4 linked regions of the Lonchura striata genome follow. The protein of the gene in region 2 purifies or fractionates together with the protein of the main gene of each other region. This does not show direct contact. Links are inferred from orthologs where the notes say so. Each region holds a gene or a part of one and is shown on either strand. Other genes may lie near its edges.

What was found.
Region 1: the proteins of WRAP73 (region 2) and CEP135 purify together in Homo sapiens (co-immunoprecipitation; 6 studies listed by BioGRID and IntAct, counting the BioPlex papers as one, with this or other methods). This does not show direct contact. The link is inferred for Lonchura striata from reciprocal best matches to the Homo sapiens genes WRAP73 and CEP135.
Region 3: the proteins of WRAP73 (region 2) and OBI1 purify together in Homo sapiens (affinity purification with mass spectrometry; 3 studies listed by BioGRID and IntAct, counting the BioPlex papers as one, with this or other methods). This does not show direct contact. The link is inferred for Lonchura striata from reciprocal best matches to the Homo sapiens genes WRAP73 and OBI1.
Region 4: the proteins of WRAP73 (region 2) and SSX2IP purify together in Homo sapiens (co-immunoprecipitation; 4 studies listed by BioGRID and IntAct, counting the BioPlex papers as one, with this or other methods). This does not show direct contact. The link is inferred for Lonchura striata from reciprocal best matches to the Homo sapiens genes WRAP73 and SSX2IP.

Annotation. Positions count from the first base shown.
Region 1 is NC_134606.1:27,506,487-27,514,433, reverse strand, and holds the start of CEP135 (centrosomal protein of 135 kDa), read right to left. Parts: upstream 3,001-7,947; 5' UTR 2,737-3,000; intron 456-2,736; 5' UTR 277-455; intron 1-276. Other genes in the region: EXOC1 (exocyst complex component 1), read right to left, coding at 4,519-4,671, 5,455-5,649, 7,144-7,343. UniProt on the Homo sapiens protein: Centrosomal microtubule-binding protein involved in centriole biogenesis. Acts as a scaffolding protein during early centriole biogenesis.
Region 2 is NC_134626.1:3,815,370-3,823,138, forward strand, and holds the start of WRAP73 (WD repeat-containing protein WRAP73), read right to left. Parts: upstream 3,006-7,769; 5' UTR 2,933-3,005; coding exon 2,864-2,932; intron 1,020-2,863; coding exon 867-1,019; intron 346-866; coding exon 229-345; intron 1-228.
Region 3 is NC_134604.1:48,207,965-48,215,342, reverse strand, and holds the start of OBI1 (ORC ubiquitin ligase 1), read right to left. Parts: upstream 3,006-7,378; 5' UTR 2,953-3,005; coding exon 2,881-2,952; intron 1-2,880. UniProt on the Homo sapiens protein: E3 ubiquitin ligase essential for DNA replication origin activation during S phase.
Region 4 is NC_134611.1:18,201,812-18,209,701, forward strand, and holds the start of SSX2IP (afadin- and alpha-actinin-binding protein), read right to left. Parts: upstream 3,010-7,890; 5' UTR 2,948-3,009; intron 2,767-2,947; 5' UTR 2,649-2,766; intron 2,582-2,648; exon of another isoform or gene 2,364-2,581; intron 1-2,363. UniProt on the Homo sapiens protein: Belongs to an adhesion system, which plays a role in the organization of homotypic, interneuronal and heterotypic cell-cell adherens junctions (AJs).

The sequences.
Region 1 (7,947 bases), on a different chromosome or scaffold from region 2:
TAATGAGCAAATTTTGTCCCCTGCTGTTTAACCCACTCTCTCACATTACTGATCAGTGTTTGTCATGGCTTAACCCCAGCTTGCAAGCAAGCACCACACAGCTGACTTGCTTACTCTCCCCACTCCCACAGGGGTGGAGGGGAGAATCAGGGGAATAAAAGGCAAAACTTTTTTTAGATTGCCATTGGAACAGTTTAATATTTAAAACAAAATATAATACTACTACTAAGCAAGAAAGAGTGATAAAACCAAGAGATGCACAATGCAATTACTCACCACTTGCTGACTGATGCCCAGCATGTCCTCGAAGCACAACCAGCCCTGCTCTGGGTACTCCCTGGTTTATTTTTAAGTAGTGGAATACCAGCTCAGATCATCTGTCCTGGCTATGTTCCCTCATGGCTTTCCGTGCAGCTCCTCACTGGCTCCGAGAAGTCCTCAGCTGAGAGCAAGCACTACTTAGCAACAACCAAAACACCAGAGTGTTATCAACATTATTCTCATGCTGAATCCAAAACACAACACTGCACTGGCTGCTAGGAAGGAAACGAACTTTATCCTACCTGAAACCAGGGCATTTGGTCTTTGTTTGCCCTAAAGCATAGATGAGATGCATTCACAGTGCCACATCTTTTTCTGAGCAGTTAGTGCCATTCTAGAGAACACAGCATGTATCACTTTGCCTTTATTAATGCTATTCTTTAATTCCCACTTTATTATTCAGTCCAGTGAAACTCTTCACAATCCTTGAGATCACACTTAACATGTTTATAAAATGAGCAAATTTTTCCCTTGCTGTTTAACCCATTGTTTCAGATCAGTCTTAAACAGCAGACAATCTTCTGCACATTCACTGTGTAAGGTTGTACTTTCTACTCTCTCTTTTAATCTCCAGCTTCTTTTCTCCATTTCTGACAGACACCTGCCTTCTTAAAAACATTTGGTAAAGAACCTTCTCAAAAAGCCTTTTTGTAAATCCAAGTTTTCTACATTGTTTGCACCCAAGTCAATTCAATCCAGAATTTGCTTTTCTTTAAAGAAGCTTAATAGCCTTGTGAATCACAACCGAATCTTGATGAAAGGTATGTCATACCTACTAGATGTCTGTAAGTTTGCAAAGTACTGGAAAGCACTCTTAACAGCTTTGGTATTTCCCATGAGACAGGCTACATTAGCTGCATAAATAGTTCACATAATTTATCATCTAAATATTTCTTTCAATTTAGGACTGCTGTGAAGAGAATCAAATTTCCATTTTTGATGAAAAATAGAAAAGAGAAAATTGAACAGTACTTTAACTCAGACAATTCCTCAACAGGACTTACTAATACATCTAAATGATTACACCTCTATCACTTGAAATCAGTCATTTGCTAAATAGGGTTTACTAATATGTTTAAATGATTACACCTCTCAGTTGCTTGCTGAAAAGTATTCAGAGCCAATTAGCCTCATTTTTGTTCCCCCTTTGCTGATGAAAACTGCTGAAGGTAACAACATTCACATGCCTCATTTTATGACATGCTTGGATGGCTGTGAGCAGTCTTTTAAAGATACGTTTATGTAATAGATATATGTAGCACCTAAGAAGTGTTCCCTAGTATTTTAAGTCACCAACTGATCCTTGATGTGAAAGATGGGCAAAAGTGAAACCTTATATCCTGCTGCTCTAGGCTTTAACTAGAGAATCAACTGGCACAAAATTGTGTGAAATAAGCAATATTTATAGGTATTAGATTAGCAGATTGAAGTCCTCCTTTTATTCGGAGAATAACACAGCAAAATTTATGCTGAGTACAGGTTCAGAACTGTTGCAGATGGAATATTTGTGTTATCAATCAGAAAATGTAATAATAAAAAAGCAGAGCAAAGGTGGATCTTGGCCATGGAAGAAATAATGCAGTCATCAAGCCATGTGGACAACAAAACTACATCGATAACAGCTGAACACAAAGAAATTACTCTGGACAAATGTATATGCTATGAAACAAGTTTTTTAATTGAGCCTGTAACATTAACACCAAAGACAATAGTGAACTGCAGTTTCAGTCTCAGTTTTGGGAAATACCAAAGTGCATTTTTCATTCACCAGAACTTACATGTTAAAGGTTTTTTTCCCTTTTTTTCCCTGTCCTGTTCGCCCAGGTACCAAAGGCACTCAGCGGACCTGATATTTGACTACCGCGGTGCTTTAGGGCTGTGCCGTGACACGCAGTCGCTGCAACATCGTGTTGAAGACACACCCAGAGAGCCAGCACTTGCTTCAGGAAAGGCTGCTTCCAAGTGGATTTGCCGGGAGCTCATTTCTGACTAAGGTATTCATACAACACGCTTGCCGTGGAGTCTCGGCACTTAGCCAATGGAAAGACAACGCTTTTCCCGAAGAAACAGGTTTTTTTCGCTAAAGTGTAATGGAATGCCAGAATGGTTAGGAAGGCAGCTCTGGAGATCATCCAGCCAAGGCAGGGTCACCTGGAGCAGGTGGCAGGAACGCGTCCAGGTGGGTTTAGAATGTCTGCAGAGAGGAAGACTCCACGTCCTCCCTGGCAGCCTGACACCATGCCCTGTACGTTCCCACTTCGGCACAACAAAACCCTTTCGATTATCAGCCTGCTCATCACCCGCCTCCCTAAACTGCAAGCTTTGCAGACCTTCCAGCAATCCCAGTCTGTACCTACAAGAGGGGCGGTCGGTCACTTTCCAAGCAGGTTCACGCCACTTTTTCCCCACACTCACCACTAAACTCAGGCGTCGGCAAGCGGGCCCGCTGGCAGGCCCGCGACGTCCCAGCGCCTGAAATCCTTTGAAAATGGCGCGCGGAGCAGCGGCCGCTTCCGGCCCGTCCCCGCAGCAACGGGGGGACGCGCCCGCGCGGCCCGGCCGCCCCTTCCGCTCCCTTCCCTTCCCTTCCCTTCCCTTCCCTCCCCTCCCCTTCCCTTCCCTTCCCTTCCCTTCCCTTCCCTTCCCTTCCCTTCCCTTCCCTTCCCTTCCCTTCCCTTCCCTTCCCTTCCCTTCCCTTCCCTTCCCTCCCCTCCCCTCCCCTCCCCTCCCCTCCCCTTCCCTTCCCTTCCCTTCCCTTCCCTTCCCTTCCCTCCCCTCCCCTCCCCTCCCCTCCCCTCCCCTCCCCTCCCCTCCCCTCCCCTCCCGGCCCGGCAGCCCTCGCGCGCCGGGCGGGACGCTTCCTGCAGCGCCCCGCGAGCCGGGAGTTCCGGGACAAGCGGAGAGACCCGGGAGACCCGGGACTAGCGGCTTCGCCCGTGCCCACAGCCCGGCCCCGAGAGCCTGCGGGAAAGACGGAGGATGTTCTCCATGGGCATGCAGCGACAGGAGAAGGGGCAAAGGATTCAGAGTGAAACAGAAGTAGATTTAGGTAGGTTAGGAGGAGAAAGCTGGTTCCTGTAAGGGCAGTGAGACGCTGAACAGGTTGCCCAGAGAAGTTGTAGAATCCCCGCTCCTGGAAGTGTTCAAGGGCAGGCTGAATGGGGCTTTGAGCAGCCTAGTGTACTGGGAGGTGTCCCTGCCCTTGGAAGGCTGTTGGAACTAGAGGATCTTTAAGATCCCTTCCAACACAATTCTATGAATCTGTGAAATCCAGGTTGCATCTAGCAGGTTTGTTACAAAAAAACTGACATTCATACTGTTGTTTTTTTTTTTTTTTTTTTATTATTATTGCATCTGCATCTGAAAAAACATTCTACCTCTGCATGTTTATTTTATGTGTTTCTACCCTGTATACACCCCACTTCTATCCAACAACTTGGCAATTTCACCAAGCTGTACAGAAAACCTAGGTCCTGAATCCCTGGCAACTGAAGCTCCAGGAAGAGGAAGGATTTACATGAGGTTAGAGTACAGTGATACTACATCATATTTACTAAAAGGAAGAAAAACAACATGAATGCAGAAAGGCACCAACTCTTCAATAACCATCAACAAAACAAAGGAATTAATTCCTTCAGGTATTTTCAACTTTTTGAAATAACTCTCCACAGAAATAAAGAATATGATGAACATAGTTTAATTAAGAATTATAGCTGTAGTCACATATCTTAGAACATGAATTCAATCTTCCCACTGCATAAAGTTCTACATCCATACTTCCTACAACAAGGAAGGGAAAACATCTGATAGTCTTCAATACTTACATAATTTCTAAGATGAAAAATATTAGTGAAAACAGTATTCTTTTGGCATACTATGAAGGTAGTGCTTACTGCTTTTGGCAAGAGAAGGAATTATAAATAAAAATATTTGAATATTAGGGTAAGGGAAAAACTGTATCCAAAGTGTTTCACAGAATAATGCTTTCAAACATTACTTCAGCCCAATAGAAGCACAATAAATCCCCAAAGTTTTTATTTTGCCCTGAAAGGCATTTGAAGCAGGAGTGTTACTCAAACATGGCAGTTAACTACACACACATGGAAAAACACCTTTTAAAAACCCATTAACATTTATAGTGTTTGATTCCCTTATATACAGGCACACACTTTGCTAGCTTCTTTCCCTTCCTAGAACTTAATGAGACTGTGCAATACTGGAGCAGTAGTCTAAAATATCCTGTATAGTGAATTCCATAGTAATTCCTGATCCAGGGTAGCAGCGAGCTATCAGTCCTTCAAAGTGCTTGTACTGTCGTATGAATTCATCTTGCATGGAATGCCACACAACCTGCCAAAGAAAGCAAACTTTAGGAAAAGTCAACTGGCATAATACATAGGCTAACTAGAAAACATTGGTTCATTAATTGATTCTCACATTTCAGGTGTCATTTTACAGCTAAAGATTACTAATAAAGTTCAATAGATTGAGTTACTGTATTAAAAAGAAGATTGATGGTTTTTATCCATTAAGATCTGTAATGTTGACATGACATAATAAATGTGCAAAGAAGAAAATAGAAGATGGGGAAGTTCTCCTAACAGAGGTATTGCTTTTGCCTTTCAGGAAAGCACCCCGAACCAGAAGAGTGCTATAATTCACATTTCAGACTTTAAAAAGCTGTTTAAACAAGCTTAACTCAAGTCTACTTGTTATTTACTCCAGTGAAAAAGTTCACACAGTGTAAGGAAAACATTAGATAATACAACTATCAGAAAATAGATAACTGAAAATATTCTGCTATAGTGCACCAATTAAGATTCACATCAGGTTATCCATTAATTTAAATCTATTCTCTACTTCCAATGTATTTTGCAGAACAGACATCACCCATTAATGGTCAGCTAGGGAATCATAAAGTAGTTTCTTTCTGGACTTTTTTCTACTGCTCTCGTCCAAATCAGTATTAAACAAATAGAAACAGAGTATGCTTATTAAAAAAACCCAAAAGCTGTACTCAAAATTTATGTTTTTAGAGTTATGCTGAACATTCTCACAGAATACATATGCAAAAGCAGTAATAAAAAGCCTCTGTGTAACATTATAGGGTTTTTAAGACACGATTTAGTTTACCTGAAGTAAGTTTTCTTCTTCACAGAGATGTTTATCTACCTTCTTGTAGAGATTATCCAATCCCTTCTTCACTTCTTTACCAGGATATTCCTTTATAACTTTACGAAGCTCTTGTTTATTAAAAGCCAGCTGATAGCTTACTTCCTCTTCCCGTATACCTTGTGCCACACGAGCTTCAACACCTTCAAAAAAATGCTAACAAGTAATAGCATTAGTCACTATCACAAATCTGAGCATTTGACAAGAATATCTGTGGTTAAATCTTGATCTGGCTTAATGACTGTTGTGTTCTCCCAATTTTTGTTTCTTAATTGGGCATGAAGTACTGCTCAGCCATAAACATTAAAACACAGTTCAACAAGACAGCAGTCCAAGCACTAGAATAAAATTGAAACCAATCCTTTCTAGAAGCAATTGAGCTTTTCTTTGCAACCTTTTAACTAATAACCAGTCAGCCTCAAAATCCTCAATTCATGAGCTCATAACCAGGGATCCAAATACTGGATCTATTGGATGATCTCCCTAAGCACCTGAGCATCTTTTAAACCATAATTACACAAGAGCATATTTGTTCACAATTGCCCTCCCTTCTCACTGTCATTAGCCAGTTTTCTCAACATAGTAAATAAAAATGTTTTAGTAATAGAGGGAAGTATTTCTATGAACATGTAGGTTGAGCTCAACAGTGCATCAGGTCTGGGTAGGACAGAAGTAACTCCCTAGTTAACTTTCTTCACAGCAGCCTCTATGGTGCTGTGTTTTGGATTTGTGGCTAAAACTGGGCTGTTAACACAGCAATGTTTTGGTTACTGCTGAACAGGTCAAACCTGACCAAATCATAGCACATAACATCATGCTCAGCTATAAAAATTAGGGTTGGAGGAGGCAGGTTTGGTGTTTGGCTTCAAAGTGGCTTTGCTCAGAAACTGCCTGGGCATCAGTCTGCTTGTGAGAGGTAGTCAATGACTGGTTTTGTACCACTTACTTTATTTTTTTTCCCTCTATCTTTCTCTCTCCCCTTCTCTGATTAAACTGTCTTAACCTCCACCTCCAAGTTTTTTCACTTTTGCTCTTCCTGTTGTCCCCCCTGGAGAGGGGGGACTGAGCAGCAGTTTAGCTATGTGACATCTTAGATGTTGGTCAGAGTCAATCCAAAAGTGGAAACAGCAATAAAGCATTTTAATTTTCAAAACAGGAATACATCTTAAATGCCTCTGAAAATGGATGCCTGAAATCCTGTTTATAGAAAAAGCCATGAGACGTTCATGTGGACAGAACTGAATCTGAACCTAAGTCACCACTCAGTTTAACATTTAGTTCAACTTCAGATACACAGAATTTTCCTATAACTGTTCTTCTTGTTGAACAGCTCAGAAACTACAGCAATTTTCTCTGCAGTTGAGGTGAGAAAGATTATCCCCAAAATCCTGATGACTTTTCCCCTCACTTTCTTCTTCCTCAAAACCTTTTGCTTAAGACACTGATGTTTAGTCAGTACTATTAATTGCCATGAAAAATTTGGTTATTTTCATCCAAAACTGTTATCCTCATGAATACTCTTGCCAGACATATTCCAATCCAAAATAATAAGGGATTACGATAGATACAGTGATAAAGACATCAAACAGTTTTTGAATGTATTATTTCCACTATCCTTTACCATTTAAATGAATACTCAAATATACTCACATTTAATTTCTCAAGAGGCTGTCCAAGTGAGTAGATTACATAAGACTGAAGATGATCAGTGTATTTCTGTTTGGCTTCTTTTTTCTCAGCCTCCAGACAAGAAATTTTCAAGCGAGAAAGTGTTGCAAAAATATGATGGAAGTTCTCCATCATGACAACATCCCTGGGTGTCTTCTGGCTTTCATTAGCTACTTTCTCAACTAAAAGAAATGAAAAGCAAAATACTAAGAATACCAAAAGAACAAATTCAGAAAAACATAAGCAATAACCATAATACTATCAAAAAGGGAATTTTGAGTTTCATGTAACTCATTTAGTCAGAATTACCAGTAAATAAAATGCTATCTAAGAGCCTTCAAAGGAAGGAACAGATACATTCAGGCTCTAAGACAATGAAACTTGTATGGCAAAAAATGCACTTATAAAAAGATAAATGTATGATCTCATTTACAGGTGTGAGGAGCAGGTCACATTCTGAGGAGGCTTACAAGCATGCTTTCAGTATCCCTAATAAATTTCACAAGATAGAACTATTTAAGAGAAGTCAACAGCAAAATCAATTCCCATCTTCACTAGGACAAAAATCTTCAGTAAGGTAGCGGGGGGTTCTTAAATGTACTTCTTAATCTCAGTTTTTGCTTATTAGTTTTATGGTCAAAATTACCATCAGTCCCTAAATGTCATAATGAAAATAGATAATTTTGCACCTAGATCTTCTACTTCCCCCTTCCCCTGCAAAAAAAAAAAAAAAAAGCCCAAACCCAAAAAAAAAAACCAAGCAGGCAAAAAAAAAAATAATTCTAC
Region 2 (7,769 bases):
AATTTAAGTGTCCATTTTTTAGTGTTTCACTAGAAGCAAGAGGACAAAATGTTAGAGGAACAACAAACACAACAAACTGGAATTAACCCGAGTTACACACAGGAGTACAGAGCTGCATCCGTGCTCTCCACCACTGCTGCAGCTTTAAGGGCTTTGGGTTATTTTGGGAGGCAAAGGGCAGACAGCACCATCTGACACCGAGGGGAGCCAGCCTGCCCCCACACTCACATGGAACTCGGTGGTGTTGAGGATGTGACGCCCGTCCGGACTCCAGCATGAAGCCACCAATCCCGCGGAGCCCTCGTCGATCTTACAGTGCCAGTCCGGCTGCTCCAGGGACCAGACCTGGGGCAGGGAGCAAGCAGACAGAGCAGAAAGCATCAGCTCACCCACACCTCTGCTCGGAAGGGCTCCCTGCAGCTGCCAACAGGCTCCTGCATCCCGGCTCAGGCAGCTCAGCAACACCCAAGCACCCGCAGCCATGAAGGACTGGCGCTGGATCCCGCTGCAAAAGTGAGTCCCATACCTCTGGGTGGTCATAGAAATGGCAAAGGATGTGGGGTTGGCTTTTTCTCTGTGACAAATATGCTGAATATCCAACATCTAAATGGGTTTGGTCCATTTAACAAGCTTGCATGTTGTTTATTTCCTACTGCAGTAAGAAATCTCTGTTTTGCTAGATATTTTTATCCTAAATATTCTTTTTCAAACTAAGATGTTTGTCGTGGCTTTCAAAATCCTGGCATGCTGGGTTATCCTCAAAGTGTGTTATCAAGGTGCCTCAGCAAAGCCTCAGACTAGTGCTGTTAAGCTCTCACTCGCATCACACCCAAACTGGGAAAGTCCTGCCCTGCTTCCATCCTCACCTGGACAACGCCCCGCTTGTACATGGCACACAGGATGAACAGAGAGTCTGAGGACCACTCCAGGTACTGGATCTGATCCACACAGGTGTAGAGGTGGAGGATCTGCAGTGAGCTGGCATCCCGAACCAACAAACGGTGCTGCACACACGAGGCCTGGGGGGGACGGGGACAGGGCTGAGCTGGGGCAGGATCCTGGATGGAGCACCAGGGCTGTCCCTGCCAGGCTCGCTGTGATGCCAGGCTTAGCTCAGAGAGGGTCAATGCTCTGTTTCAATTTAAAAAAAAAATCCTCCCTGTGGGTGGTGAGCCACTGGTACAGATTGCCCAGAGATGCTGTGGCTGCCCCATCCCTGGAATTGTACACGGTCAGGTTGGACAGGGCTTGGAGCAACCTGGGATAGTGGAAGGTGCCCCTGAGTGTGGCAGGGGCTTTGAACCAGATGAGATTTAAAATCCTTGCACTCCAAACTGGTCTAGGATTCTGTAATTCTGTTCTATATGTGCTGAGCTCCACTGTGAACTGCAGTGAGAACTAACCCAGGGGAAAGGGGGTTTTACAGCAGTAAGTAGAATCCTCAATTCCATCACTGCTGGGTACGCAACGCCAGTTTTTAAAAAAATATTTTCTGTCTTATAACTTTTTTTATTTCACAGAACCCCTTATTTAATAGAATCCCTTAATAGTCTGGATTAGGAGGGACCTTAAAGTTCATTCAGCTCCACCCTGCCCTGGGCAGGGACACCTTCCACCACGCCAGGCTGCTCCAAGCCGTGTCCTTGGGCACTGCCAGGGATCCAGGGGCAGCCACAGCTGCTCGGGGCCCCCAGTGCCAGGGCTGCCCACCCAGGCAGGGAATTCCCCCCCAAGAGCCCATCCAGCCCTGCCCTCAGGCAGATGAAGCTGCTCTCCCCCGTCCAGCCCTGCCCTCAGGCAGATGAAGCTGCTCTCCCCCGTCCAGCCCTGCCCTCAGGCAGATGAAGCTGCTCTCCCCCGTCCAGCCCTGCCCTCAGGCAGATGAAGCTGCTCTCCCCCGTCCAGCCCTGCCCTCAGGCAGTTTGAAGTTGCTCTCCCCCGTCCAGCCCTGCCCTCAGGCAGTCTGAAGCTGCTCTCCCCCATCCAGCCCTGCCCTCAGGCAGATGAAGCTGCTCTCCCCCGTCCAGCCCTGCCCTCAGGCAGTTTGAAGTTGCTCTCCCCCGTCCAGCCCTGCCCTCAGGCAGTTTGAAGTTGCTCTCCCCCATCCAGCCCTGCCCTCAGGCAGATGAAGCTGCTCTCCCCCGTCCAGCCCTGCCCTCAGGCAGTCTGAAGCTGCTCTCCCCCGTCCAGCCTTGCCCTCAGGCAGTTTGAAGCTGCTCTCCCCCATCCAGCCCTGCCCTCAGGCAGTTTGAAGCTGCTCTCCCCCGTCCAGCCCTGCCCTCAGGCAGATGAAGCTGCTCTCCCCCGTCCAGCCCTGCCCTCAGGCAGATGAAGCTGCTCTCCCCCGTCCAGCCCTGCCCTCAGGCAGTCTGAAGCTGCTCTCCCCCGTCCAGCCCTGCCCTCAGGCAGTTTGAAGCTGCTCTCCCCCATCCAGCCCTGCCCTCAGGCAGTTTGAAGCTGCTCTCCCCCGTCCAGCCCTGCCCTCAGGCAGATGAAGCTGCTCTCCCCCGTCCAGCCCTGCCCTCAGGCAGTTTGAAGCTGCTCTCCCCCGTCCAGCCCTGCCCTCAGGCAGTTTGAAGCTGCTCTCCCCCGTCCCGCCTCTCCAAACCGTTGTGGAAAGTCCCCCTCCATCTTCCCCGGAGGCTCCCTTCAGGTACTACTTAATTTAAAGTCATACTTAGTTTTAAACAATTCGCCTAACAGATTACGATTAATTTAAGCTGACTCAGGTCTCGGTACTGCCCCTCAGCAGCAGCCTCAGGCCGGCATTCCCCGGGGCTCCATCCTCGCCCTCAGCCCGGCCCGGCCGCGCGGGGGCCCCGTGCCGGGCCGCACGGCGCCGCTGCCCGCGGCCGGCACTCACCAGGCATTTCCCGTCGGGGGAGAAGCGGCCCAAGAGCCCCGAGAGCTTGAAGGGCTCCGAGAAGTTCATGGCGGGCGCGGCGCCGCCGGGATTCGAACCCGCCGCGCTGCGGCCGCCCCGCGCCGCTCCGCCGGGCCCGCCGGAACGGGCGGGGCCGCCGCGGGGCACGCCGGGAGTTGTGGTCCCGCGCCGGCCCGGCAGGGGGCGCCCGGCGGCGGGAAGCGCGCGGGAAGGCGGCATTGGTATGCAAATGAGCTGCTAATGAGCCGGGTAATGACGCGGTTAATGAGCTGCGGGGTGAGTTCTCCCTCCTCTCCTTATCCTCAGGGAAACCCCCCTTATCTGGCGCCTTTCCCCGCGCACCGTCCCGCGCCTGGAATAGCCTTGACTAATTAACCGGCCCTTCTGGCTAATTAATCAGCCCTTCGGGCTAATCACTGTTGCCGGCTAATTACCGACAAAAATGGGAGAACAGGTGGGATGTCGCGCCAGATTCCCCAAACAGGACAGAGAAACTAATAATTGGAATAGAGATACGCCAGCAAAAAGGATGTGAAGTGACTGGAATCAATCAATCAATCAATCAATCAATCAATCAATGTAGATGTGAAAAACACCAATCACTTGTTTTTTAAAATCTTCAAAGTTTATTAGTAATAAAATAGTCATTAAAAATAGTAATAAAATTAGAGTAATAAAAACTTGGACAATGAGGATTAGGACACTCCAAGACAATAAAAAGCAAAGAATTTTGGACTTCCAGATGTTTTCGGGCTCTGAGCTGCCAAAAACATGCCTTGAACAAAGGGATAATCCTTAAAAGCAACAGCCTGTTGCATGTTCATGTATCTCATACATGGTGCATAAATTCCTTGCAAATTAAGAATTTTTCTGTTTTTTGTCAACTTCCTCCCCTTAATCCTGGTGGTTCCATAAAGACAGAGAGAAGGTGGAAGAATATTTGGTTTTTCTGATAAGGAGGTTGTAACTCTTCAGGTTTCGTGTTGTTGCTATCTCTATGCGAAGAGTTTCTTGATTATCTTATCCCATTCCTTGAGCTAGTAAAAATATCTTTCATCACATAGTTTCTATTTTAACATTATGTGATAACCTAAAACTACATTTAACACACTATTTTAAAAGGATTCATACAGTATTACAAACTAACCGTCCATAATAGATACAGTATTCCATTTAATATTTGCGAAGAGCCAATCATCAAATACACATTTTATGAACAGCCAGGGGATGCACAACTGCCTCCCTTTGTCCCCACGGTGTGTATCCCTGGGATTTTTGGCCCAAAAATCTGACTTCCTCACATAGGTGTGAGGAAGGGCTTCACTCACACACAAGAACTCTACTGCTACCAACACAAAAATCTGTTGCAAATCTCTGCAAGACTGGTATTCAGTTGGACAAACTCAGACAGAGACTGAGTTTGTTTGTTGACTGGAGTCAAAAAATACACTTTTTTTTTTTTTCTTTCATACTTGATTGCTTTAAAATCTGCAAAGAGTCATCCCAGCATTACCTGAAGTCCCCAGATGTCCCAGTGACAGCTCGGCCGGGTGGCACCCCCCACCCTGTTTGGAGGGCACAGTCACCATCAAGAATAAACCTCATGATCAGAGGTTCTGAGGATTGGAGTCGTGATTTCATTCGGGATTATTTGGGTTCCAGAAGCTGCTTCCAGCCGCAGCCGTGTGTTTTTTGGGGGGTGAATGCATCAGTTTTCTGCCCCCACAGCAGAGGGACAGGTGTGACAGCTGCTGTGCTGTCACCACCACCTCCCCGTAACGTGGGGGTGCCTGTGGGCAGGGGGGTGGCTTTGTGTCCCCGGCTGGGGACAGGGGAGCTGAGCACCAGCAGTGGTGCCCAAGGATGAGCAGAGCCTGCTGCCCACCTGGGTGATCCCAGGCAAGCGACCAGCAAGTGACACGGGAGTTTGTGAGGGGGGTGTCAGTGTGACAGGGTGTCTGTGATCCATAATTAACCTCATGGGTGATGGTTTTTAATCAGAAATGTTCATTCTTCACCCAGTGCTCCTCCCTGAGTCGCTGCTGCCCGGGAGAAGCAGTGCAGGGAACCCCAGAGCCCTTCCCCATCCCTGTGGGAGAGATGATCTGGTCCCTTGGCTGAATACAAACACAAAACCTGCTCAGTCTGCCTATCCAATGAGGGGAAAAACCTCCTTGATATGCTGACATCCATCTTTGCTGGACGTCCCATCCCTGGAAATGCCCAAGGCCAGGTTGGACGGGGTTTGGAGCAGTCTGGGATAGTGAAAAGTGTCCCTGCCCATGGCAGGGATGCAATGAGGTGATCTTTAATTGTCCCTCCAACCCAAACCATGCCCTGATTCTGTGCCCGATTAAAGCCCAGCGCTGCTGCCAGGTGGCCACCACTGTCACAGCCCCCACAGCCAACTTGCCCAGCGTCACTTTGGCGCTGGTGACCAGCTTTAATTCCCTGGCACGCTTGGCTGAGCACTCCCCACCCCCTTGCACAGCCTCCTATCCCAGGAAGGAGCGCAGGAGCTTTGCCTCGCTGTTCACACAGCTTTCAGCAGCTCCAATGTCATTGCCTTGGCGACCGGGACGCTACTCCAGTGTAGAGCAGTAAATAACGTAGATCCTCAATCCCAGGCCACTCCTGCCCGCTGGAAACCTCCGGGGGAACTCAAAACTCAGGTAGGAGAGGGGAAAAAAACCTCCAAGAGGAAAGCCTTTGCTCTGGGTGCGGGTGAGTTTCTCCATAATGCGGCTGGAGGATGATTTGTGGCCGCTTCCCTTCGTGGGCTTGTGACACAATATTGAAGTGCCTTGGAAAGTTTGCTCCCAAGTGGCTTAACTCTGGAGTGAGAGCGCTTTTGGAGGAGCCAGGGATGGCAGAAGCAGCAGGAGATGGATGCTGGTGAGATGCAGGGGCTGGCTGGGTGCTCCAGGTCCCTGTGCGGGCAGGGAGGGGAGCAGCGGCCTCAGCCTCCTGCCCTATCACGAGCTGCTGTCAGAGAGGATTTCTCTCCAACCTGCCTCCCCTTCAGAAAAAAATTATTGATAAGCTTCTGGACCTCACAGAGGGGTCCTGAGATTCGAAGCGTGCTGCAGGAAAGCTCTCTCTCTCTCCCTCCATTGCTTTTACAAACCTCATTTTGCAGGTGTGAATTTAACAGTCCGGGACAAATGAGTGATAGCACAGGGCAGCATTGGGCTGGCAGCATTCTTTTCAAGCTGTTTGCTGTAGTCTGGATGAGCCTGATGGGTCTTGTTGTGAGGAGGAGAGAAAGTCCAGGGCCAGTTCCCAAGTCATGGAGCAGCTCCATGTGAGAGGTGGAATGGCTCTCAGAAGTCCTGCTCTGCCAGAGAGTCCTTAGGAATTAGTCATAGCCCTGTTACATCAAGTTTCTGCATTTATCTCCCATTCAGGTGGCTGCAAAACACTGTCATGTTTCCTTCTGGGCTGTTGGGGTGGTGGAACAGCAGTGAATTACCAATTGATAACAAATACTGAGCGTTTCTGGTGCTAAACTCGAGCCCTAAAGTTGATCATGAACTCAAAGTTGCTCCTTCCAGAGAGTGCAGAAACTCAGTGGGCAAACTCAGCCAGTTCCCAGCAAGGCTGAAAGCCCATGGTGCCCTTCACTGTGATAAAAAATGTTGAGTTTATAATCATTCTAATAATTTATTAGACCTTATTAATCATCCTAATATTGATTCGAATTTATATTTTATTTATGGTGTGACCTCTGTGGTCACAACACGTGAGTATTGGCACGGTTGGATAGACTGAGGTTCCTCTGCTCTGCTTCTCCAGGAGCTGTTCTCCCTTTTTGGGCTGGCTGTAGGGACCTCGGTCCGTGCTTTTCCTTCTCCCTCTGTCTTTGGGGCTGGGATTTCCGCAGCACCGCGGAAAACTGAGTACGTGGAGCTTTTCCATACTAATCTTTGGGGAGGATTCCGGCGGCCGTTCCCAGGGAAGCTTCCCGGGGCAGCGGGGACCGGAGCCGGTGCCGTGCCCGGGGGTGGCAGCCCCGCCGCGGGCTGAGCCGGGTCCCGCGGGGAGCAGAGATGGGGGGATCCTCTCTTGGCAGGTTTTTGCCCCGCTGCCGGGCTCTTTTCCCGTCTGCAGCCTCCCTGCAATGCCCTGACTAGCAACAGAGGGAAGCAGCAATCCAGGGAACGCCGGAGCGCAGCTCTCCCAGTGAACGCCAGCAAATCCCACCGGCAGCCCTGGATCCCAGCACCGACCCCCTGGTTTGCACGTTTTGGGTTTTTTTTTCCCTTAGAAAGCTGCAAGAAATCCAGTGCAGGTCCCCTCTGAGCCGTGCCAGCCGTGCCAAGCATCCCCCACTTGCCTCTCTGCTCCATTGAGGCGAAAGGGATGGAGGATTCCTTGCTGAACCCTTTCCCTGGGAGAGGAGATCCCCACTTTAATAAGAAGTTTATAATAAGTTTATAACAGTAATAATCCTCCTGGGGGAGTCTGGCTGGAGAACTCTTGCTGGAGGAAGTCAGGATGAAACCCCCAGGTCTTCCTCTGGAGTGGGGAGTGATAGCAGGGAGCTGAGCTGGGCTGTGGCTGCTCCTGAACCCAGCTCCAGGTGCCATTTGCTCAGCCTTGGGCACAGGGATTGTATCCAAGCCACCAGGAGCACTTCCAGAGAAATACAGAATTAGGCTCTAAGGCTCTTCCCAATTTACCTCTGATTTTGATGTTGCACAAAGCTCCCACTGCTTCCCACAGGGTGACTTTTCCTTCTGCAGAACTTCACCATCACGGTGCTTTTCCAGATTCCCAAATGTGGACTCCTCCAGCATTCCCTGAAACAGGGCTCCACATGGCACCTCCTTTCAGAGGGAATTAGATCAGCACCAGACTGATTCTGGGGAACCCTTTTTGTAGG
Region 3 (7,378 bases), on a different chromosome or scaffold from region 2:
GCATGGATGGTGATGATAAGATACAGAGCAGAGCAACATAAAATAATCCAAACAGGAAAAGACGTTTCATGAGTGCAGGTTTTCCCCCTGGGGAGCAAGAGACCCTCAGTTACCCCAAACCTGACACAGAATCACACATGAATGATTACTCTATATCTTTAGCAAAATAATAAGTCACATGTATTACTCTCCAGGGTACAGTGCTTCTGATTTACACACCTTTACAAGTTTCATTTCAGGGCTGGGGTTTTATACTTCAGTTCACTCAGGATCCACACAAAGCAAGGCACACCAGAACAGCAAGAGCCACTATTGAAATGTCACACAATGGCTGGTGCTGCCACTGCCCCTCCCACCAACTGTGACAAGCCTAGGGGGTAGGAGATCAGGACATACCTACTACTAAAAAAGCATTTTACTTGAATTACAGCACAGTTCCAGTGCATTCATTGACCATAATATCCAGAAAGACAACCGTTTATTTCAGAAGGCTTAATCAGCTTGGTAATTTTGAGCTATTTCCTAATTTTTCACCTCCAACATAATGCCATCCCTATGCAGATCAACATCCAATCCTGTACACATTGACTTCACTTTGAAGGCACTTCTGGGCCTTCAGGCAGCACTAACGGAGGAGCAGGCACATGAAAAATCAGACACACCCAGTCAGTGAACCAATCCCAGATATCCTACACTGTTTCAACCAACACAGAACAGCGTCTTGAGCCCAAGCAACCTGTCGACACCAAAACCAACAAGAGAGACCTCCAAACATTCTGGGACAAGAAAAACAGTCTGAAGCAGATGGCTTCTGATCTGCTACCTAATTAAAAAATGCAGCTGTGTTAGAAGATGGCCCAGACTGTACCAAAAGAATATTCAGGTAACAAACATGAAATTGATACAAGCAATTCACTATTACTTTAAATGGTTATTTGCACATCTTGCCAATATACTTTCTGACATTGTTCATGTTAACAAAATGGACTAACGTGTCCCTGCTACCCAAGACTTCAGCTCCATCAAGAACAATGAGTGGCCAACTCATTAAAAGAATTTTTCTTCAACATTTCCTTTTTTATCCTCTTACCATAATGCACAGAGAATAGTTTGTATCTTGCAGTCAAACCTTTGCAAATTTTGCAGGGATAGAAAGAGAAACACTCTGAGTTTAGGGTAGGCCTTCTACTTGATTTGAAGTCTATGCCATAAACCACAGAAGTATCAGTATTATGTCAACCCTCCATGATACTCCCTGCTCTCCCCTAAAAGGTAATAAAAACTGACAAGATTTTTTCCTTAACACAGGCTAAACAAATTCCTTTCTCCAACCTTAATAATCCTGAGAAAATGGGTTTTTCTGGTGAACTTTTTCAATGAAGTTCCAAACTAGAGACAAAGATGTCTGTTAAAAAGAAAGGGCAGTCAGAGTTGTCAGCTTTGTCAAAATTTAAACAGATTTACACATCTAAAAGTGAGAGCATTTAAATATCTTTATTACATTAATCACCAATAGATTCACAATTCATTTATATATGTTAATGTATTGTCTCAGTGCAAGAGAGCAAGGAAGAGGGTGGAAGCCTCTTCCAGTACAAACTCAGGAACATCTAAAAAGGAAGTGAAAGTATGAAATAGTGGCTTGGAATAACTCAGTGGCTTTACAGCAAGATATGAATGAACACCTAACCAAACTGTTAAGTGCTTAGATCAGAAATTAACTAGGAACAAATAGCAAATATCTTTGTCAGTTTAATTTCACTCTCCTCTTTTCACTCCACTTTTTGCAGAGTGGAAGGTATCCATGCTGCATTACATACAGAGTACACTTGGGTTCTACTCCATTTTCATTAGACAGATAAACAGAAAAAAGAAAACTAACATGACAACAGCCAGGAAATCTTGCTCAGCTTCCACAAACAAACAAACAAACAAACAAACAAAAACAAAAACAAAAAAAAAAAAAACCCAAGAAATGAGTAAACGTGGTTGCTTAAAGTAACACGCTGTCAGAATTTTGAGACTTAAGGGACCACTTTCTGATCACTTTCACTACTAATGCTACACGCCTACTTCACACACCAAATGCTCCCGCTCTTTTATTATCACTCCAACAGAGAAGGTCTGGGAGCGAAGGCCAGGTGAGGTAGAAACAAACCAGACAATACGTGCCAGAGTACAAACACAAAAGGCTACTTCTTCACTTGTAATTATGTTGTGCTTTAAGAAAAGAAAACGAGAGAAAAAAAAAAAACTAGTAAGGAATGCGCAAAGAATTTGAGAAGCAATTAGTGACAGCCATGAAATTGGCTCTGGGGCTTTTAGAGAAGAACAGACTAGTAAGAGCCCTCTTCTTCCCGAGGGAAAAGAAAAAGGGACTGAGAAAAGGTCGGAGAGGAAACGGGAACTTTTTGTCCAGACTGCTGCAGTTTTGCTGAACAGTTTAGAAATCTGCTTGCTTATACGCCCCCTCTTTGTTTCACTTGTCCTCCACGACACAGCACTACACTCAAACACAGGCTCCCCGAGCGTTTACAATGGAGCACCCTACTGGTAACGGGAGAAAGCCCCCAGACGCCAGCACCTGCCCCTCGGGAGCTGCACACGGCATACCTGGGGCCCTCCAGGCCCATCCTACACCTCCCGGCACGATCCCGCCGGGACAACGCGCGCTTCCCAACCTCCCGAGGCTGCCGGCAAGCCCCGGCCCCCGCCGGGAACGGCGCACACCCCAATTCCCTTCCCCGCACGGAGCCGCGCAGCCTTAAAAGACACAACCCCGGCCACAAGGGTCAGAGCGCCCCAGAGCTGCCGCCGCCGGCCCGACCTCCCTGCCCCCCGCAGCCAGCCCCGGCCCGCGGGGCCGGGCAGCGGCGTTACCTTGCCCAGGCAGATGTGGCAGGTGATGGGCAGCGTGAGGGACAGCGTGACGCTGGGGCCGTGCTGCGCCATGCGGGCCCGAGCGGCGCGGCCCGGCCGGGCGGCACGGAACTCCGCGGGCGGCCCCGGCCCCGGCCGCGCTACGGCAGCCGGCGAGGCCAAGCCGCCGCCCGGCGCAGCGAGCGCCGCGCGCTGTGCCGGCGCTGCCCTGCAGGCGGGCGGGAGCCGCGGCCCCTCGCGGCCCCTCGCGGCCCCTCGCGGCCCCTCGCGGCCCCCCGCGGCCCCTCGCGGCCCGGGAGCCCGGGCAGGTCTCAGCCTGCGCACGGCATTCCTGGGGGAAGCACGGCGCCATGGGGAGCGCAGGCACAGTGCCTGTGCAGGAGGGCGACGCGGTAGCAAGGATGGTCTTCTTTCCCCTGGTAAACCTTTGCTGTGCTCAGGTTTCATCATGTTGAATAAAGATAAACGGCTGTTTTAATTCTGTTAACTGTCCTGAATCACAGAATCGTAGAATTACAGAATAGAATTACAGGATCATAGAATGGCTCGGGATAGAAGGGCCCTTAAAGACCATCTTGGTGCATCCCCCGCGCCATGAGCAGGGACACCTTCCACCAGACCGGGTTGGTCAGAGCTCCATCCGGGCTGGCCTTGAACGCTCCCGGGAATGCGGCATCCGCAACTCTGGGCAACCTGTTCCAGTGCCTCACCGCTCAATCTCTAATATAAACCTACTCTCTTTCAATTTTTCAATCCGTTCCGCCTTTTCCTGTCACTGTGTACCCTTGTAAATAGTCTTGGCTCATCTTTCCTGTAGATTCTCTTCAGTTACTGGAGGGCCCCAATTAGGCCACCCTGAATCCTTTTCTAGCCTGAACAATCACAATTCTCTTAGCCTTAGGAGAGGTGCTCCATCCCTCTGACCGACATGGTGGCCTCCTCTGGTCTCACTCCCACAAGTCTTTGTCCTTCCTGGGATACGGGAACATGTTCTTGTGTTCTAGGGGAAACTCCCAGGGCATGAGCCCCCCTTCCCCATTACCGCCAGTCCATCTGCAGTCTCACGCCTCACATCACTGCTGGGTTCCCACACTGCACAGGCAGCTTTGCTTCTTGGCCCCACTGCATTGCCAGTCAGCTCAGGTGGGATTTGCACAGCCCGCAGCTTTGGGAGCAACAAAAAAAATGAGGACTGGGATAAATCCTCATGCCCTGCAAGGTGCTGCATGTGATGATACCATGTGGAAGACTCTGATCCATGGAAACCAAGGGGCCAAATCTAAGGATGAAAATTTTGCATCTGCCATCCAGCTTGTGCCAACAACTCTCCAAATCATGGAGCTTTTCTGTTGCACTTTCTGGGCTGCTGGAAAAAAGCGGGGAAGCACTGCTGGGGGGATATAAGGCTCCTAGGAATCTGCTTGCTTGACCTCAGTCCCAGGATTCCTGTAGTTTCTTGTAAATGTGCCACAGCATGCTGAAAATTACAGACTTGAGTGATTCAACATTGCACCACAAGATAAATGCTTATAATGCTGAGCAGCTGATTCAAACAAGCAAAAGTTGTGGATGCAATGATTAACAAGGAAAGTATCTTAGACTGACACAGCAGAGTTGCACGGATGCATTTCAATTTGGTATAGGTAAGTCACTGCAAATAAAGCGAGAGAACTAATCCATGGTGACATTCCAGCATAGACAAGACCTAGCGGATTTGGTGTTAATGCAATGCTTGAGTAGGAGAGGGCGGGTTTGAATAAGGTGTGCTTGATAAAAATTGAGTGCTTACATGTTACAACACTTTTTAGTAAACTTCAGGAAAAAGTACTGTCAAATAAGAAAAGAATAATTTACCAACATAATGCACATATCATTAATTAAGATAGACTGGAGTGAGTGGACATGCACTTCGAGGAGATTCTTTTAGTCTTGGTACCACTGACATGCTGCTTAGGTAGAATGGTGGTAAGAGAAATTTTTTCAAGGGAAATGTAAAATTTTTGAGATGTTTGAGCTTAAAAGAGAGCCATTGGAGCCTGAAATTCATTCAGTGAGTTTATTGTGCAGCCAGCAAACTACACAGGAATGCAATGAATCTCTCTTATTTATCTTTTTTAGCTTTATTTTTATATTGACTTTTATTGAAAAAATGTGAATAGACAATATCGAGAGTAGAAAGGGTAAATGCATGAAAGAGAAATCAAAAGCAGGGAAATGCATCTTACATTTGACATGTGAAACTCCTTTAAATGAATCTGGGATGAAGCAGGAACCCTTTCAAAGGCATGACTTCCACTGCTTCAAAAAAGTGTATGTAACTGGAAAGTGACCTGTTAGAGGAAAAGCTCTGTTGGGATGAATATATTTTCTCTCAAACAAAAATAACTTGTAAAGGAGTTTATTTTCCTGAATAAGCTGCTAAAAGGAACATGTTTTCTCTTAAGGAGGTTAAACGTATTTGTTTAGTGGATTTCTGCTGAAGTTGTATGCATAGACTGTGAAGGAGTACTTAAAAAATTATTTGTGATCTAGTAGCGCCTCAGGTTTTGTTGAAATTTATGGGTTGATGTTACCAACTTTTCAGGGGTATGGAAAATACTTAGTTCTGTAGTACTGAAAGTGAGACCTCAGGGAGCAAGGAGAAGGGAGCTGGAGGGGTAACAATCTGCTGCAGCTGAGGGGAGCTGAGAAATACCATGTAAATGCAGGAGGTAACAAATGTTTAACAGGTCCAAGGGATTGAACACCACAGTCCATGTAGCATGAAGGATACTTTTCAAAGGGCTGGAGCCAGGATGAAAGAGAAAACAATTCCTGAAATGCCTGGCATACCTCTGCTGCTACTGGGGCAAAAGGATCAAAGAGTCAGGCAGTTTTCCAGCCATATGGCCAGTGCTGGTAAACCTATAGAAAAAAGATGGGTTAAAAGCCGAGACTCTAACTGTGAATGATCTTCTAGTATTAGGGCTTCATTTGTGAAATGCTTCAGCAACTTCACTACCTGCTCCTGAAATCTCAGAAACCTGAGAGGAATTATAGTGGAAATATGAAAATAGCATCTGTCACAAATTGTGGAAAGTTCTTTGGTGAGAGCTTCAAAAGAACAAATATAGGACAAGAAAAAATGATCAGACAACTAAGACATTTCTTTTCTGCTTGAGTTTAGTTCATAAAGATTAATAAAGTTAACATATTTTTGGCTTAAAGTACATCAATTCCTGTATTTTGGATCTGTGCATGTTTCCCAACAGTGTGCAGAGAGAGGAAGGAGCAGGTGTAGGTATGAAATGTCTGTCTTCTTGGCTGATTAGCCCAGTGATAATTAATACAGTTGCATTGCTTCCAGTGATTTGAATATATATATATTTAGATGTGGGGCTTTATGCCATGAAAACCTAACCTAAAGGTCAGTTTTTTTACCAACACAAGTAGATATAAACCACTGATAGCCAAACTCTTCACCCTCAGTGTCCACTTCTGCAACAATGAAGTCTGTTCAAATTGGCTTTGAAGAGCTTTCTCTTCAGAACCAGACTGGATGAATCTTCAGCTTTTATAAAAGGGTTTCCCAGGTGGTTTTGCATGATTTAGGGGAATATAGGATGAAATTTGCCTCAAACTGAGTAAAGAAGCATTGGGTTCTAGGTGCCTAATTCAAACCTGTGGTTATTAAAGGGTGAAAACAGCTTCCCCTTCCTCAGGATTTTACTGTTGAGGAGCCCTGCAGAGCGGTGGCCTTACTGGCTCCTGTTGTGAGACACCATCTCAGGGACTCACTGGCTGCCATTCAGAGGCCATTCAGTAGAAATATGTAGCTCTCAGATACCCCTGTCTATGCTGCCTGAGGACTGTAGGCTGCTCTTGCCATCTGCTCTCTGGGAGTTCCCATGTGGCTTTAATTTTAAAATGTAAGCAAATTTCATCTCTCTCTTTAAAACAGTGCTTTGGGGTTTGGCTGCAGAAAAAATTTGGTGTTTCTGGAAGGGAAATAAAATGAATGTTAGAGGCCAGAATATCAATCTCTGGCCATTAGGTAAGAGAACTGGGACAGAGAAAGATAATAACTTTGTTGATTTAATAATATTTGAGATTGACAGTCTTGTGGAAGCTTGGTGCAGTTAGTCTTCTTCACAAGAAAGAGTAAAAGATGACAAATCAATTTTAAAGATAAAGTTTTCATTTTGAGTTTAACCATAGTAACTTTACCCTCTTAAAGAAGAATATTCCTACTCACACTTTCCACAACCCACAAAGGAATTCAAGGACTAGCTCAGATGTAGACATCTTGCTTCTAGGCATCCAGAGTTCAGTAAGAAAAACCCCATTCTTCGTGATGTCTTTTAGATTTTTTGATCTTGCAGTTCTGATGTTTTCCATTTTTCTTGATGTGTCAGCAAGGAGCCAAACAAGTAAATAGATAATGTTGGGTTATACCTGAAGTCAGTGCAGCTTTCATACTTAGGACACTAGGCTGTGCCCTTCTTTCTTTTTGAGGGTC
Region 4 (7,890 bases), on a different chromosome or scaffold from region 2:
TCTTAGCTTTTGGGTATGAAGTCTTCGTTCATTCTGAATACATCATACTCAAAAATCCCAACTATACTTCTCCCTTCCATTTTACTTAGAAAAGCAAACAGGAAAACAAATTAAAATTACCAAGGGTTTTAAGAAAATAAATATTTACTCTTCTCAACACATATAATTACACAATAATATACTCTTACATCTGATAAAATTCAGAATTCAATGACTGTTCTATCATGATCTTTGCCTCAAACACTCAGGGTACAAGGAATACAATCTGATGTACTACCTCAAGATTCAACTCTACATGCCATACACACACAGAAATTCTGTTACTTCAATCACTGAAAAAATTGAAACAGATGGAAACATTTTATCTGGCTCCCAAATTCCTACCCCATTTTGAACTAACAAGATGGGTTTCACATTAGCGTTTTCCTATCACTAAACAATAACTCTATTGTTAATCTCCAAAACTGAATTTCTCCTTTTGCATTCACAAACCACTGACTATATGTAGCCAGAGCAGAACATTCTGTTAGCAAATCTCCCTGTGTCACAGACAAGAGAACCTCAGAAACCATCTTCTGCATGTCCTCCTCTCCTTCCTGATGTCAGCTTTATCCAAATTTTACAGCTGTCTCTGCAAGCAGACAACTTTTTAAAAGAAAAGCAAACCACTATCTTATTTGTTCCTGAAGTTGGCGAGATATCTACTGGGCAGAGCCAGAACTAGTATTCCAGGTACCAGAAATTGGGAAACTTACATGTTTCCGCAGCATGTAACCTGAAATTTAAATCAGGCATGGAATGCAAGAAGACAACTACATTATTTCTCTAGCGATTACATGGCAATTCAAAGAATAATTCTGTAAATTCCAGGTTTCTGTTAATCAAATGTCACAGAAAGACCTGACAACTCCAAACAAATGGGACTGGTGAAATGTCAGCATACCTTCTGTGGAAGGAAGGAACACTAAGTTCTGCCACAGTGCTCTGGAAGAAGGAATCATCCAACACACTTGGGCAAGACAGCATAACTGGATTTTCAAAAAGCTTTTGACAATCTTCCCTCCAAAAGCTCTTAAATCAAGATGCTAAGGAATTTATTAGTGACCGATTATAAAAGGAAAAGGGCAAAGTGTAGGAACAAGCTATAGGTGGGTGAACAAAGTGTATGAAAGTCACGGAGAAAAATTAGAGCCCAAAAGGGGTCTGTGCAGGCATCTCTCTGTAACATATGATATACTCATCTACTATACAGAGTTATTCACAGAAATAAACACAGGTTGAATGACAAACTGCAGAAGGTTGTCCTCATACCAAACAAATGGATAATAAAAATCAGCAGCTGACATTCCTTGTCCATAAACACAAACTAACACAATGAAAAGGCCAACTCTGCTATGCACTTAAACCAACAGACTCTAGTTAGGCATTATCATGCAGGCAGAGATTCCAGTCCCTATGATTAGTCCTCTGGAAATAACAGCTCCCAGGCAGCCAACAGAACCCTGGAGCAGAGGACAGAAGAGACCACCATAATGACTCCCGATGAACACTAAGCTTCTGCACCTGAAATATCTCACAGTGATACAACCTTCCTTGGAAAAAAAGACAGAATGTACCTAAATATGTTGCAAGAAAGGTCAAGCAATGATTTCACACAAGAAACTAATAAGCTGTGACTTATCAGCTAGAAGAGGAAACAGCTGGAGAAACAACAGCAACATAGAGAAAACAAATATTCTTTGCTTCTTTTAACACAGCACTTGTACAGAACGCAAAGAAACATTCAGTGCAAAAGCTGGGAAATAAGGGCATTTTTTCCACATAAAATACAAACTGTGGACTTGCTTCACCATCAGTTGCTGTGAATAATCAATACATAAACTGTCTCAAATTTTTTGAAAAACATTCATCAACATCTATTACATTTTAAAACACAGATGCAGCCTCTGATTAGAAATCCTTCCATTTCAGACTGCAGCATCTTAGAAGGATACACAGATAAAAGCACTGCTGTACAACCAAACTATACTTAACATCTTTTCCTTAGCATCTGCTGCCAGCTTCAGAACTGAGATATTGAGCCCCATGAGCCTGGTGTTACCTTCTCCTGTGATCTTTCTGGTCTAAATTATAACTGATATTAGAATCAAAGCTTTCCCCATCCCCCCCCCCCCAAAAAAAAAACAAACCTAGAAACAACATCTTTCCCCATAAACACCTATAATCTGAAACTCCCCTTCATTGTATCAAATAATTTCTCTAGGTCTCCTTTCTGAGTTCACTATTAAAATTTACCTAATACTTCCACATTATATTTCGAATACTTCGTATTTCAAGTCATTGCCCTAAAATTCCTATCATACCTTGGCAGCCTACGGAGCTCTGCTGAACTACTTCACTCACCACCGCAAGCAGCAGCACATTCTACATAATCCGGGGATGGAGAAACACTACAAACTAGTCTCGCATTACGATTTGATCTTCAGATTTAAAGTAGCTTTGCTGCAAATAAATACAAATTTAAATAACGTTTTTTAAAAACGCCCCAAGTCCCTTACGAAGCCTGCACTCTTCCATCACGTGAGCCGCCAGCTCAGCCCGAGCAGCCCCCAGTTCCCTGACTCAGGGGAAAGCTTCCCGGCTCTCACCTCCGAGCATCTGCCGCTTGGAGCTTCACAGACGGCGAACGCCGGGCCTCCAGCGCCGGGGAGCGCCGGCACGCCCAGCCCCGCCGCGATCGCCCTGTCCCCGCGGATCAGCCGGAGCCTGAGGGAAGGCAGCACATGTCAGCACCCACAGCCCGCCCCGGCCGCCGGCTCCTGTGCCCGCACGGACCCTCCCCCGGCCCGGGGGAGCCCAGCGGAGCGGAGCCGGTACCTCCGCCCCGGCCGCCGCCCCAGCGCCCCGCCGTTACCCGCCGCGGGGCGGGGGAGCCGCGCACCCCCACCTGCTGGGCCGCAGCGAGGAGCGGCAGCGAGGCGGCTCCCGAGCGAGCCCCGCGGCCCGGCCGGGCCCCGCGGGGTTAAACCGCGGCCCGCCCCGCCCCGCCGCGCCGCCATTGGCCGGGCGGTTGCCGGGAGACCGGAACGGCACCTGCCGCGCGGCTCCGCCACCTGCCCGCGGCGCGGGCCCGGCCCGTGGGCCCCGCTCTCTGCCTCTGTCCAAGGGCAGGCTCTCTCTCTTCCCTTCAGGCACGGGAAGGCGCGATGAGGTTCGCCCTGAGCCATCTGCAGGCTCAGCAGTGCCAGCTCGCAGCCTGAGGTGCAGAGCTGCTCCAGCTCCGGGCATCTCCGTGCCCTCCCAGCACAGCGCCGTGCGTGTGCTGAGGACACGGAGCGGGTGCGGGGCTCCGGGCGGGCTCTCACGGGAGCGCAGAGGGAGAATCCCCTCCCTCGACTTGTTGGCCATGGCTCTTTGGATACAGCCCACGACAGGGTTGGCTTTCTGGATTGACTCATGTCCAGCTTTTCGACCGCAAGAACCCCCAAGTCCTTCCACAGCTGCTCTCAATGTTCTTCTCCCAGTCACAAGTCACAAAAATGCCGCCCTGTGGAAGACCTGACAGCCTTCTCTGTGGCTGGGAGTGATGCTGAAAAAGCACCAAGACACCCAGCCTGGCACATATTTTATTCCCCAGAGAATATAAATTAAACTTACAATGTCTCACCATTAAATATGTGACGTCTTGCCTTTCAAAATTGGAAGTTTTCATCCTAATGTATTTCCAGGTTAAGAAACAACAATTTTCAATATTGTCAATCTTAGCCTGTTGTGGTATTTTTTTTAATTAGGATGAGGTCACCAGAATAGGTCCAATATTCTCTTTACATTTAGCTTTGAGGAGAGTGCTTTGTTGGAGGATTCAGTGCAAGTAATCACTTTGCATTAAACAAAGTGATCTCAAGGAAAGGAGATTCATCAGATAATTCAGGACCATAAAATGGAAATTTTGAGGCATGGGGTGTTCACAAACAACCACCAAAGACACTCAAAAGACCTCATATTCAAATAAGTTAATGGAAACAATTAGCATCTACATATGTATTCAGGAAATGTAATGAATATGTAGTAGAAATGTGATGAATATGCATTAGTTCCATGGATATAACCTGGCCTGTTAGGTTGCTCTTCATGAATGCTTTGAGGATAAAACCCCATGCATCAAGCACTGCTAATAAACTAATGCCAGCTTTCTAACCTAGTAAATTTATTGGGACATTTTACTTCCTGGCTTTTGTTGACAGGAAGAGATTGATGATTATTCTTGCTATTTTTACTTCAAAAGCTAAGGTGTTATAGACCAGATCAAGAAACAGAAAAAAAAAAAAAATTACTGACAGAAAAGAGCTTTAGAATGCAGTAGACAGAATGACTTGTGACTGGAAAGACACCACCACAGAAAAATAGCAGTGATTGGGATATAAAATATTTATTTTTAATAGATTGTAGTTATATACTCTTTCTTAAATTCAGTTGTCCACCCAAGTTGGCAAACTTTGCTTATTTTCTGTGTATTTTCAGTATAAGAAAGTGGTAACATAGGACACAAATAGTACGTTAGCATTTTCAGTGTTAGGGTTATCATGTAGACAGAACAATGCTCTGTGTTCCATCCAAGGGATGGAACTGCAAAAGAAAATGGGCTTTATAGGTTTTCCTGCCACAAACACAGCTGTGATAAACCTCCCTACATCTCTCCCACTGTGCTTGCCCTGCTTCCATAATCTCTTTCATTCAGCATTTCTGGTTTTCAAAGGTCAGCTTAAGAATGGAAAAATGCTGACTGAGGTAAAAGTCAGCCTTTCAAAAGTCAAGAAAATTTAACTTCCAGGGGCAAAGTATACTCCTGCCATACATATTGGAAATAAAGCCATTTCTCTCAGTTACGAGCAGACCATAACTACCTCTCCAGGCAGGTGAAAAAGAATATGGGGCAAGTAAGCAAACTGTTTCTTGTTGTGTCAGAAGGAGGTTCTATCAGCTTGCAGAAATACTGATTATTGTTTTGGCTCTTGGTACCTTTGCAAAAACACTTAATTTTTTTTTTTTAGAAACTGATTTTTTTTTTTATGTTATTTGGGTTGTAGGAAATCATTCCTTGCACTGCAGAAGAAAACTTCCATTTTATCACTCAGGTTTATGCAAAGACTTTGGATCTTTATAGTGCAGCTTTGCCACAGGTGCACTCCAAGGAGGAAGCAGACTTACACAAAATATGTTAGTGGTAATGGCAAGTGGGACAACAGACCTTGCTCACAGGAAGGATTAAGCTCCTGGAGCTTTAAAACATAATACAGGCATGGGTGGTGCTGAATTCCCTTTGTCCATTTGATCTTAGCAGCTGTTCCTGAAGTTGATGCTATTCAAAGGAGAACTCCCCAAGCACTCTGCTGTGCATCATGGATCAGGTTTGGGTTATGTTTTTTTAAAAGGCTGGCCAGGAAAGGAAAAGTCTTTGTGGGATGCATTCAGGAAAAAGAATCAGAAAATTCTACCTTATGAAAAACTGTAGTCCAACACAATCCTTCACTGATAATGCATCAGTTTGGTATAACATAGTCTTCGTAAATTGGAGTGAGAAGTAAAACCCAGCTTTCTAAAGTGATTCTCAAGAAGGTGACATAAGGAGGATTTTGGTACAGAGAAAGGGTGGTATCTTTGGAAGCTTGGGGTATTCAGGGATACAGTCAACTAGTCAACTATTTAGTGTATTCTCTTGAATAATATCATAAATATCCTGTAGCAGATGTCAGGTCTTTGACAATAACCCAAATTGTAAGAGTAACTCCTCAAACAGTTTTTTCCTTCTTTATTTGGGTTTGCTTGAGTCTAATCAACTGAATTATCTGGAGTCTCCTTTTATTTTGTTTTATAATTCAGTTTAAAAGTAACCAAACAACTTGTGTTATTTCATAGCTGTTCCACTCTGTCATGCAGACTGTTAGCCTAAAAATTGATTGTAGTTCAATTTCTTTTACAAACATATTTTACAGAATAAATTATTGGAGAAATCTTGAAGATGTATTTATAATTTATTCTTTGTAATTATTTGCTAAAAATTTGGATTAAGAATTATAATGGGGAAAAAATTAAAGAACCAGAAGAAACTGCTTTATGAAGTGAAATATACAAAATAACTCAAATATCTCAAAACTTAAATTCAAGATGGATTAAACCGTAGCATGAACAGTAAGACAACAGGCTCCTATAATTCAGAAAGTGAGGGGCTGATCCACAGGTTGTTTGCATTTCAATTCAAACTCATCTTCTTAAGTACATTCAGAAACCCTGTTTGCTGGAGTGGTTTCTATAGCAGTGTCCTGCTTGATTACAAATCAGCAGGGCTGACGGAGCCTGGTCGAGCAGAAGCTCATTAAAATGTCTGATCTGGTTATGCAATAGGCTGGTGGCAGCCTGTGACTCCTTTATTGTCCCCTGGTGTAAGAACTGTGACTCGACAAAGCCCAGCTCACAGGGCTTTTGTGTCTCTTTGTGGAGATGTGTAAAAATAACCTCAAAGCCAGTCTGTGGGTTGTGCTCTGCACTAGTAAGAGCTTTAAGGTCTGCTCTCAGTTCCAGCTCACACATTAGGAGCTCCAGTCATGCAGTGATCTTAATGGATGTCTCTGGAGCCCATCGGTGGCTCCAAAGATGCAGAGACCTACAGCAGGTTACAGGACTTTCCATTCTTAAGCCCACCTGTGTGATCCATTCCCTCCTCTCCACCAGTGTCCCACTACATGAGAGTCACTTGGCTCAGTATTTAAAAGACATTCAATTTCTGGCTGAAAGTTTCTTCTGCTCCTGCACTTGGACAGTGAAATTTCAGACTAATCCCTGTTAGGTTAAATAAAGCAGAGAGAAAGATGGCTTTCCCCAGGAGTTTGGCCAGGGACACCAACAATCACAAAAATATCCACAGATGAGACGGTGTTCTTACCTGTCAGAGTAACAGGTCTTTGTGCCAAGCCAAAGCCATGGAAAGCAAACTAAGCTTCAGGAATCCAAGTGGGTGCAAAACAAAAAGGATGCTGACTCCACAGAAAAGAAACCACAGCCAAAACCTTTGAATAAAACTGCCTCAGGGTGAGTGACAAGATGCCAACTAAAACAAGGATTGCCACTATTTCACTGCTCCCCCCCAAAATTGTCTACATAGTTAGGCTTTTGCACAGGCCCTGGTTTTTATTGCACTCTCATCTGAGTCATACAGCTCATTAATTCCATTTATTTTATGTTTTTGTTGGGCGAGAGTTCCAGCAGCTTAGCAGGTGAATTGGCTCACAGGGTGTTCCAAATATGCTAGAACAAGTGCAAGACAATCTAGGACAGAAGAAAGAGAAAAGGAAGAACAGGGAGAGGAATGGGATTCCACAGTTTTAGTGTCAATGAGGTATTAGATACTAAGCCCTTTCAGAGACCCACAACCACATGTTTCTTTCTGCAACCTTATTTCTGATTAAAGACGGGAGCAGATATTTCCCTCATTTAACTATCTCCACACATAATAAGAGTACCATAGGCAGTTTTTTCTTCCATTTTGGAAGGCAGGCACCAAGTAAGCTTTCACTGAATTTACCCCAAAGACCTTTGGAGGAAGATAAAACATCAACAGGCTACAATGCCTGCAGCAACTCAGGTTCCCTTCTGAAATTGTTCAGACAGTAGTTCAAGGGACCTCTTCCATGAAGTAAGGAGCAGCACAGACAATGCCATTTAGTTGAACTCTTTTGAAGAGTTTCGGTGATGCAGATATTTCATGACAAATTTTGATGTTAGTAGCTATAGCAACTCATGCCATGAAACAGCTGTTCTCCTTCCCATCTTATCCTGTACTACACATACATCATCTTTGGAGAATATGTGCAATATTTTGCATGTCTGCTTCAA